Linked DNA regions of Saccharomyces cerevisiae S288C. The protein of the gene in region 1 binds, or shares a complex with, the protein of each later gene. Each region holds a gene or a part of one and is shown on either strand. Other genes may lie near its edges. A codon is read from its position in the direction of its gene.

Region 1 (5,045 bases):
CCCGGCATTCATATATGTACATACATTTATGCACATATATATATATATATATATGTATATGTAAATGTATATATACAGCTTGTGATTTCGCGCGCCGAATGGGCTGAAAAGCACAGTATAGTGGAGAAGAAGAGAGAGGAGAAGGGGAGAGGGGCAATAGCAATGGATGTGGTAGAATACAGGGAAGGCCAAGCTGTTGTTCAATGGATGCGGTTCGAGGCCCAGCGCAAGGGGGGCGCTTCGAAGCATAGAACATTATCCGCGGAAACGGGTATTAGGGGTGAGGGTGAATAAGGAAAGTCAGGGAAATCGGGCCAGAGTAACACCCATTCATAGCACTCGTACAAGGTGCTTTTAACTTGCCTGCATGTGTGGAGTCACAAATTAGGGGACTCAGGCACAGAAGCAAGGGTCCTTTTTTGGTTCCCTGTTTCCTCCTGCGCATTTCGTATTTTTTCTCATCTCTTGGCTCTGGATCCGTTATCTGTTCTGTTACACAAGAAATCGTACATTTACAATATAGTGATAATCGTGGACTAGAGCAAGATTTCAAATAAGTAACAGCAGCAAAATGGCAAGACAAAAGATGTTTTATAACAAATTACTCGGCATGCTCAGCGTAGGATTCGGGTTTGCTTGGGCGCTCGAGAACATTACTATATACGAATTTGACTTTGGCAAGGGCATTCTCGATCAAAGCTACGGCGGTGTATTTTCAAACAACGGCCCTTCGCAAGTGCAGCTGCGGGATGCAGTCTTGATGAATGGGACAGTGGTATACGATTCAAACGGCGCTTGGGACAGTAGTGCGCTGGAGGAATGGCTCCAGGGACAGAAAAAAGTTTCCATCGAAAAAATATTTGAAAATATTGGGCCCAGCGCCGTGTATCCGTCTATTTCGCCTGGGGTCGTGATTGCGTCACCATCGCAAACGCATCCAGACTACTTCTACCAATGGATAAGGGACAGCGCGTTGACGATAAACAGTATTGTCTCTCATTCTGCGGGCCCGGCAATAGAGACGTTATTGCAGTACCTGAACGTTTCATTCCACTTGCAAAGAAGCAACAACACATTGGGCGCTGGCATTGGTTACACTAACGATACAGTGGCTTTGGGAGACCCTAAGTGGAACGTCGACAACACGGCTTTCACGGAAGATTGGGGTCGTCCTCAAAACGATGGGCCTGCTCTTCGAAGCATTGCCATCTTAAAAATCATCGACTACATCAAGCAATCTGGCACTGATCTGGGGGCCAAGTACCCATTCCAGTCCACCGCAGATATCTTTGATGATATTGTACGTTGGGACCTGAGGTTCATTATTGACCACTGGAATTCTTCCGGATTTGATCTATGGGAGGAAGTCAATGGCATGCATTTCTTTACTTTACTGGTACAACTGTCTGCAGTGGACAAGTCGCTGTCGTATTTTAACGCCTCAGAACGGTCGTCTCCCTTTGTTGAAGAATTGCGTCAGACACGCCGGGACATCTCCAAGTTTTTAGTGGACCCTGCGAATGGGTTTATCAACGGCAAGTACAATTATATTGTTGGGACACCCATGATTGCCGACACATTGAGATCCGGACTGGACATATCCACTTTATTAGCTGCGAACACCGTCCACGATGCGCCATCTGCTTCCCATCTTCCGTTCGATATCAATGACCCTGCCGTCCTGAACACGTTGCACCATTTGATGTTGCACATGCGTTCGATATACCCCATCAACGATAGCTCCAAAAATGCAACGGGTATTGCCCTGGGCCGGTATCCTGAGGACGTATATGATGGATATGGCTTTGGCGAGGGAAATCCCTGGGTCCTGGCCACGTGTACCGCTTCAACAACGCTTTATCAGCTCATTTACAGACACATCTCTGAGCAGCATGACTTGGTTGTCCCAATGAACAACGATTGTTCGAACGCATTTTGGAGCGAGCTGGTATTCTCCAACCTCACGACTTTGGGAAATGACGAAGGCTATTTGATTTTGGAGTTCAATACACCTGCCTTCAATCAAACCATACAAAAAATCTTCCAACTAGCTGATTCATTCTTGGTCAAGCTGAAAGCTCACGTGGGAACAGACGGGGAACTAAGTGAACAATTTAACAAATACACAGGGTTTATGCAGGGTGCCCAACACCTTACCTGGTCCTATACTTCATTCTGGGATGCCTATCAAATAAGACAAGAAGTTTTACAGAGTTTGTAGACAAAAAAAAAAATAAAAGGAAAGCGAGAAGTATACACAAGTGTATTTCCTAGATATTTACATCAAATATATATATATACTTATTTACAAAACTCTGATATTATAAATTGATTAGATACTATGTCGGAACGTCCAGCCCAACCACGTTTGCAGTTCTTTTCACTTTCTCATCCTGTGTCAACTTGTTGCCAGGATTGTATCTGTCGACCAGCTCCTCGTATTCTCTTTGGTTGTCCAAGAACTTGATGATGTCCAAAGCGTGTTCGAATATCTCGTCAACGTTTTGTCCCTGGGCCACCTTTTTCTCCCACTTTATATCGTTTTGTAATATGGAACGTAATGACTTAGAGTCGGCTATAAACAAATTCAAAGATCTGTCGCTTACCGGATCTAGTTTTTTCCATTTCTCTAACTGTCTGTTGATGTTCTCATGCGAGTCTCTCTGATTTTGTTTCTTAGCATATTCCAACTTTGTTATCATTGCCTTTCGTAGATTGCCCCAATTGACTATCTTGCTTGGCCTTTCATATTTCAGAATGGCTCTTATGAGTCCTCTATATGTGCGTAATGTTCTTGGTCTATCCATTTCCCTGGCACTCTCTCTTTCTCTCTCTTTTCAGCTTTTTGTTATCCACTTATCGCTGCAAATGAAACTCTAGTGCAATTTGAGATATTCACTTTTTGCAAAGGCGAAGAGAAGGGGGTGGTTAAATCTACAATTTCATACATAAAACAGAGAAAATGATTATAAATTATAGGAAAGTAGGTAAGCCATGGCAGAGAAATCAATATTTAATGAGCCTGATGTGGATTTCCATTTGAAATTAAATCAACAATTATTTCATATTCCTTATGAACTACTGTCCAAACGTATCAAGCATACTCAAGCGGTAATTAATAAGGAAACCAAATCACTACATGAACACACGGCCGCATTAAATCAAATATTTGAACATAATGACGTTGAGCACGACGAGTTGGCACTAGCAAAAATAACTGAAATGATTAGGAAAGTTGACCATATAGAAAGATTTTTAAATACGCAAATCAAGTCCTACTGTCAGATTTTGAACAGAATTAAAAAAAGGCTGGAGTTTTTCCACGAACTGAAGGACATCAAGTCACAAAATTCAGGAACATCGCACAATGGAAATAATGAGGGTACCAGGACTAAATTGATACAGTGGTATCAGAGTTATACAAACATTTTAATTGGTGATTATCTGACGAGGAATAACCCGATTAAATACAACTCGGAGACAAAGGATCATTGGAACTCTGGCGTAGTGTTTTTGAAACAGAGCCAACTGGATGATCTCATTGATTATGATGTCCTCTTGGAGGCTAATAGAATTTCGACTTCGTTACTACATGAGCGTAATCTCTTACCCCTAATTTCATGGATAAACGAGAACAAAAAGACACTGACCAAAAAGTCCTCTATATTAGAGTTTCAAGCAAGATTGCAAGAATATATTGAACTACTAAAGGTGGATAACTATACCGACGCTATAGTATGTTTTCAAAGATTCCTTTTACCATTCGTTAAGAGCAACTTCACCGATTTAAAATTAGCATCTGGACTTCTGATTTTTATCAAATACTGTAATGATCAAAAGCCAACTTCTTCTACCAGCTCTGGATTCGATACTGAAGAGATTAAGTCTCAAAGTTTACCAATGAAGAAAGATCGAATATTTCAACATTTTTTTCACAAATCTTTACCTAGAATTACCTCCAAACCTGCGGTGAATACAACAGACTATGACAAGAGTTCCTTAATAAATTTACAAAGTGGAGATTTCGAAAGATATCTGAATTTATTAGATGATCAAAGATGGTCGGTATTAAATGATTTATTCTTGAGCGACTTTTATTCCATGTATGGCATATCACAAAATGACCCTTTATTGATATACCTGTCACTAGGTATATCGTCTTTGAAGACAAGAGATTGCCTGCACCCTTCTGACGATGAAAATGGAAATCAAGAGACGGAAACTGCCACAACAGCAGAGAAAGAAGTTGAAGATTTACAACTCTTTACGCTACATTCACTAAAAAGGAAAAATTGTCCCGTTTGCAGTGAGACTTTCAAACCAATAACACAGGCATTACCATTTGCTCATCACATTCAGTCTCAATTATTTGAAAATCCAATACTATTACCAAATGGAAATGTTTACGACAGTAAAAAATTGAAGAAATTGGCCAAAACATTGAAAAAGCAAAACTTAATTTCTTTAAATCCAGGTCAAATTATGGATCCAGTTGACATGAAAATATTTTGCGAATCAGATTCTATCAAAATGTACCCAACCTGAAATAGTTTCAAGCTATATGCATTTTTTTATATAAAGATTTGTCCAACTTTCACAACTATTTTACAGATACTTACGCTATATAAGAATTAGGGAAAATGAAAGTTCTTTCATCAACATGGCGACATTCTTCCTTCTGTACTTAGTCTGAATCAGAATCTGTGTCTTTTTTGCTTTTACGGTTATGTTTTGAACTATTCGAGACATATTTACTAAAGATGTAGAACCTAGCATCACGTTCTTTCGCAGGTTTTGTAGTATCTTGTTCGCTATTCGTTCTCCGGTGATGATATCCTGGAAAATTTTCCCATTGGAATTTGCTCGATCTGCTCAGAGTTAGTCCATTTTTTTTGGCTAAAAGTTTGATTTGCCATGAATCATAGGGCTCTCCATCGAAAAGGGACAGTATGATGTTACCATAACCTTCGGCGGTCAATTTTTTAGCCTGGGGAGTATCCTCATTAAGATCATAGCCTTGCGTATAACGAAGAGTATCATTTTGA
Region 2 (5,026 bases), on another chromosome or scaffold:
CCATTTAATGATAAGTAAACCAGAGAAATTTAAGTGGCTTCCATCAAAAGCTTTACGGGGAGATGGGAAACCTTACGTAGTAAAGCTCCAACCTGCCAAATTTATAGAAAATTTACAAACAGATCTAGCGAAAATTTACCATTGTCATGTTTACATGTTTAAACATCCCTCTTTGCCAGTGTTAATTACCAGAATACAGCTATTTGACAGCAATAATTTATTTTTGAGTACGCCTAATATAGGGAGTATAAATAAAGAGTCTCTTTACAACAAGTTAGACAAATTCCAAGGGAAACCATTAATATCAAGGAGACCATATTACGTTGCATTCCCGCTAAATTCTCCAATAATTTTCCATTCAGTTGACAAGGATATTTATGCTAGACTAGTTTTGCAGAGCATTAGTCGAACGATATCAGAAAGAGAAACAATCATCTTCAAACCGGTACAGAAAATACCCGTGAAATCAATACATAATATAATGACTTTATTAGGACCTTCGAGATTTGCGGAGTCTATGGGCCCATGGGAATGTTATGCTAGTGCTAACTTTGAACGGTCACCACTACACGACTACAAAAAGCACCAAGGCCTTACTGGTAAAAAGGTAATGGTTAGAGAATTTGATGATTCTTTCTTAAATGACGATGAGAATTTTTACGGAAAAGAAGAACCTGAAATTAGACGACTAAGGTTAGAGAAAAACATGATCAAATTCAAAGGTTCAGCAAACGGCGTAATGGATCAGAAATATAATGATTTGAAAGAATTTAACGAACATGTCCACAATATTAGGAATGGAAAGAAAAATGAAGATTCTGGTGAGCCAGTGTACATTTCTAGATACAGTTCCTTAGTTCCTATTGAAAAAGTTGGATTCACTTTAAAAAACGAAATAAACAGTAGAATAATTACCATAAAATTGAAATTTAATGGTAATGATATTTTTGGGGGATTACACGAACTATGCGATAAAAATTTAATAAATATTGATAAAGTTCCTGGGTGGTTGGCTGGAGAAAATGGATCGTTCTCAGGAACGATAATGAATGGAGATTTTCAGCGAGAGCAGGTTGCTAAAGGTGGTTTACTGTAGAAAACTACTGTGTTCTGTTATCGCTTCCAATAAAAAAAAAAAAAAAAAACCTATGCAAAAATTTCAGTCAAAGCATAACAAAACGAACCTTTTTTGTACTGCTCATTGAAGTATTTACGGGGCAGTATGGGCACTTGAAAGTAATTGTTCCGTTCTTCGATAATCTGTCTAGCGCCTTTTTAGAAATGATGTGATGGCATGCCAGTGAATAAGGAGGATTTTCTGTAGTGGTTTCCTCCTTTAAGACGGGACAGATGAAGATCGGATGGAAATGAGTCAGAAAATCTGGTAACTTGACATCAAATGGCAACTCATCTTTCGTAGTCCAGTCAACGTGCGCTAACTCCCTGATGGTTTTGTATTTGATGAAAAATTGGAAAGAAATTAAACCACTCAATACTATCAAAAACAAGGGAGAGTCAAAGAAAATATGTTTTGCAGCACAATATTCTTTTATAAATAACGACGTGCATTCTTTTAATTCCTTATTTACTTTAGAATCAATATCTTCAATAGGTTGACCTATTAGCGATTTAGTTAATAATGGTACGACGTTTTGCATTAATTCCTTCTCCCTATGTCTAAAGCAATCCAGGGGTGCGTTCTGTGTTATTTGGTAGTACAACTCTACCGGATTTCCATGCTTCACTATCTGCATTGCTGACAAAGTGTATAAATCAAATTTTAGGGACGATAAAGCCGTATGGTTAGATGATAAGCTTTCCATTTCATTGGAGCACCATTTCAGACAGCTTTCTGTGTCACCCTTTTTAAGATCATGTACGATTTGGCCCATCTCAATAAATTCAGTAGATTCTTTATTAGTAATTCCGTAGACATCTTTTAGATACTGGAAAGCCTCATTTTTATTTCCTAATGGCATGTTGTCTATACTATACCTCAAAATATGGTAACCGATGGCTTCATTAACATTTTCCATTGTCTCTTTCGGTAATTTATTGACATATACGCTATCTATATCAAATTCTTTTAATTTGTTCAGCGTGCTTTTGTTGAAGCGATTCGACTGCTGAGAAACGTACTTTATTTGTTTCTTTACTGAATGGTCCCATTGCCTCTGTGACTTGCTTAGCTTCTCAATAATTAGTTCTCTTTTTCTCTTAAACTTTTGTTTCTCCTTATCACTCAGCTTATTATAGACTTCTGGTTTTGATTCCTGAATATGCTTGTTTAAGTGCGCTTTCAACTTCTTTAATTGACTCTTGAATTCATGAGTATGATCAAGACATTTTTGAAGGTTTGTCTCTTCCAGATTGCTGTCGGTATAAAATTTCGCAAACTCTGTCTCAAAGCTATCTAGTAATTCAGACATCGTTTCTTGGTTCCCTACTCAGTGCTGCATCTCTCTTGAAGACACACTTATCTCATACTGAATGTGTTGAACTTTACCCCTAATAATAGAGATTCCTCAGCTTTTTCCCCGGCGCGACGAGCTTTCCTATGTGTGAAATGATAATTTTTTTAACTTTCTAACACGAGAATATGAGCATCACCTATTAGTCGTATAAATAAATAATTCATAACAAAATACATAAATTGTAATAAATAAAATGTGTTAAAAATACACACTATCATAAATAATTGTCGTGGAAACAACGCCACTCATTTGTTACTTGAGCGTTTCAAAATTTGGAGTTACTCGAAAGCTCAGAAGCATGTTTTGCCTCAGCTACTTTTTTAATTGCCTCAGATAGTCCCTTATCAACACGAGCAAACATATCATAAACGCGCTGCTGTATTTGAGGACAGGCGCCTTCTACATGAATGCCGATGTTATATGCCAAGTTCTTTTGCTGTCCAGGTTGTTTACCCAAAACGCGGTAGAGATTTCTTGCTTGCACGAAATCTACATCACCTGGGGATGTTGCCCAATGATAAGGGATAGCTGGCCCATTCCATACCTCTTGGTGTTGTTGAATGGGTCTGTCCTGTTGGATATACGTGTACGATTTATCGTTGGCCAAATATGTAGGTTCTGAGCCGAAGTTGCCGTTAACATTCATCGGTCCATCTCTGATAGCGGGATTGAAAAATTTAGATGCATATGGACAGTTTACGGGTATTTGATGGAAGTTAGGACCTAGCCTGTATCTATGAGCATCCGCATATGAAAACAAACGGGCCTGTAATACTGGATCAGCGCTTGCTTCTTGGTAAGGAACCGTGGTACTGGGGGCGAAGGCAGCTTGTTCCACCTGTGCGAAGAAGTTCAGTGGATTCTCGTTCAAAACAATCTTACCCACACGCCGTAAAGGGAATTGCCCCTGAGGCCATACTTTAGTCAAATCAAAGACTGAAAATGGTAATTTTTTGGCATCGCGTTCGGTCATTGTTTGAATATAAACTGTCCAGGAAGGATAGTTTCCATTCTGAATAGCCTCAAATAAATCCTGCTGGCAGTAATCTGGATTGGATCCCGCAATTTTGGTAGCCTCTTCTATGGTCAAATTCTTTATTCCTTGATCGGTTTTGATATGAACTTGCACATAATGCCAATCTCCGTTTTTATTGGACCATTTATAGGTATGACCAGAATAACCATGCATACTACGGTAGTTGGCAGGGGTACCACGGTCTGAAAAAAGGATCATTACTTGATGAATGGCCACCTGATTTTCAGGAGTGGTGAGGAAATCCCAAAACATGTCAGCATCCCTTAGGTTGGTTTGTGGGTTTCTCTTCTGTGTGTGGATAAAGTGAGGGAACTTGGAAGGGTCTCTGATAAAGAATACCGGTGTATTATTGTAGACCCAATCTAAATTACCTTCTTCAGTGTAGAATTTGGTGGCAAACCCCCTTGGATCACGAACCGTGTCGGCACTACCTTTATCACCACCCACAGTCGAAAATCTTGTTAGACATTTCGTTCTTTTCCCAATTTTACTAAACATAGCAGACCCGCAGATATCAGTAATGTCATCGGTTACTTCAAAATAGCCGAAGGCACCAGAACCATGAGCATGTGGATTCCTTTGAGGAATATTTTCCCTGTTGAAATGAGCCAAAGAATCAATTAAGTTATAATCTTGCAAAAGCAAAGGGCCATGTTCCCCAATACGTTGGGTGACAAATGGTTCATTGATTGGATTACCAGTGGAGTTTGTCACAACTCTATCCTCTCTTACATCAGAGTAATTTACTTCATTTTTTTCTTGTCCCAATTTCGACATCTTCTAGGGTTCCAAATTTATTTGTAAGTACTATTATATTTATTTAACTTACCTTTTAAATAAACCTACAAGAAATTCAAATGTACGATTTGGACATTACAGTGAAGAATGCTTTCTACATCTCTTTATATGTATGGCGATATCAAAACTGGTTGTTTCTCCAATTCTGTCACTGTGGGGATTTTCGGAGTTTATATTTGTTAAAGCCGTCCTTTTTCGGATTAAGGGACCCCACCAACTTGCGCGGCTAATTCCGGCCAACTTTTTGCATTACTAATTGCGGCTTTAAATAGTGGTTAGAACAACCGCTCACTTCTTCACGCAAGGACGTTTGACAGAGCTTTTTTCTTCCTCTGTCAACTTTCTCTTTAAAATATTAGTTAGCAGCTTTTCATCAGGAATAACCTTGTAATTCTTGTCGATGGTTTCTTCACAAACTTGCAGCGAATCTATTTCGCTTTTCAAAACTCTCCGAGCCATAACATCTCTTAGTTCTTCCCTTGTTAATGAGTTTCCTTTCGAAGGTTTTTCGATAGAAACGCACTTTTTTATGGGGTAATCGGCTAGACGCTTCATAATACAACGTTTCCATGTGGCACTACAGTTTGTAGTGGCGCGGGCACCTTCTATCAATTGTAAACACTTCTTTACAATTCTCTCCACTTGCCTTTCCATTGCTTTTATGTCCAGTTTGCATAAACCTGGAATTTGGCAAAGAATTGTCAAGATTTGGACCAAA

Evidence for each region. Proteins that work in one complex are often made in the same cells at the same time.
Region 2: the proteins of FYV10 (region 1) and RMD5 are in contact, whole or in part, in a cryo-EM structure (PDB 7NS4), measured with the Saccharomyces cerevisiae proteins. Residues at the interface, in NP_012169.1 of Saccharomyces cerevisiae: Phe7 (codon at 3,013), Asn8 (codon at 3,016), Pro10 (codon at 3,022), Val12 (codon at 3,028), Asp13 (codon at 3,031), Phe14 (codon at 3,034), His15 (codon at 3,037), Leu16 (codon at 3,040), Lys17 (codon at 3,043), Leu18 (codon at 3,046), Gln20 (codon at 3,052), Phe23 (codon at 3,061), His24 (codon at 3,064), Tyr27 (codon at 3,073), Leu30 (codon at 3,082), Ile34 (codon at 3,094), Thr37 (codon at 3,103), Gln38 (codon at 3,106), Ile41 (codon at 3,115), Asn42 (codon at 3,118), Thr45 (codon at 3,127), Lys46 (codon at 3,130), Leu48 (codon at 3,136), Leu55 (codon at 3,157), Asn56 (codon at 3,160), Phe59 (codon at 3,169), Glu68 (codon at 3,196), Ala70 (codon at 3,202), Leu71 (codon at 3,205), Ile74 (codon at 3,214); in NP_010541.3 of Saccharomyces cerevisiae: Ser2 (codon at 2,426), Glu3 (codon at 2,423), Leu4 (codon at 2,420), Leu5 (codon at 2,417), Asp6 (codon at 2,414), Phe8 (codon at 2,408), Glu9 (codon at 2,405), Phe12 (codon at 2,396), Phe15 (codon at 2,387), Tyr16 (codon at 2,384), Leu21 (codon at 2,369), Thr24 (codon at 2,360), Leu26 (codon at 2,354), Gln27 (codon at 2,351), Leu30 (codon at 2,342), Thr33 (codon at 2,333), His34 (codon at 2,330), Phe36 (codon at 2,324), Lys37 (codon at 2,321), Leu40 (codon at 2,312), Lys41 (codon at 2,309), Lys44 (codon at 2,300), Leu47 (codon at 2,291), Asn48 (codon at 2,288), Ile51 (codon at 2,279), Arg74 (codon at 2,210), Ile78 (codon at 2,198), Leu81 (codon at 2,189), Trp88 (codon at 2,168), Asp89 (codon at 2,165).

What each region holds. Positions count from the first base shown.
Region 1 is NC_001141.2:177,433-182,477, forward strand, and holds FYV10 (glucose-induced degradation complex subunit FYV10), read left to right. Parts: upstream 1-2,994; coding exon 2,995-4,545; downstream 4,546-5,045. Other genes in the region: SGA1 (glucan 1,4-alpha-glucosidase), read left to right, coding at 572-2,221; FMC1 (Fmc1p), read right to left, coding at 2,340-2,807; BMT5 (25S rRNA (uracil2634-N3)-methyltransferase), read right to left, coding at 4,685-5,045. UniProt on the Saccharomyces cerevisiae protein: Component of the GID E3 ligase complex recruiting N termini and catalyzing ubiquitination of proteins targeted for degradation.
Region 2 is NC_001136.10:965,394-970,419, forward strand, and holds RMD5 (ubiquitin-protein ligase RMD5), read right to left. Parts: upstream 2,430-5,026; coding exon 1,164-2,429; downstream 1-1,163. Other genes in the region: CHL4 (Chl4p), read left to right, coding at 1-1,096; CTA1 (catalase A), read right to left, coding at 2,740-4,287; RKM4 (ribosomal lysine N-methyltransferase), read right to left, coding at 4,597-5,026. UniProt on the Saccharomyces cerevisiae protein: E3 ubiquitin-protein ligase component of the GID E3 ligase complex recruiting N termini and catalyzing ubiquitination of proteins targeted for degradation.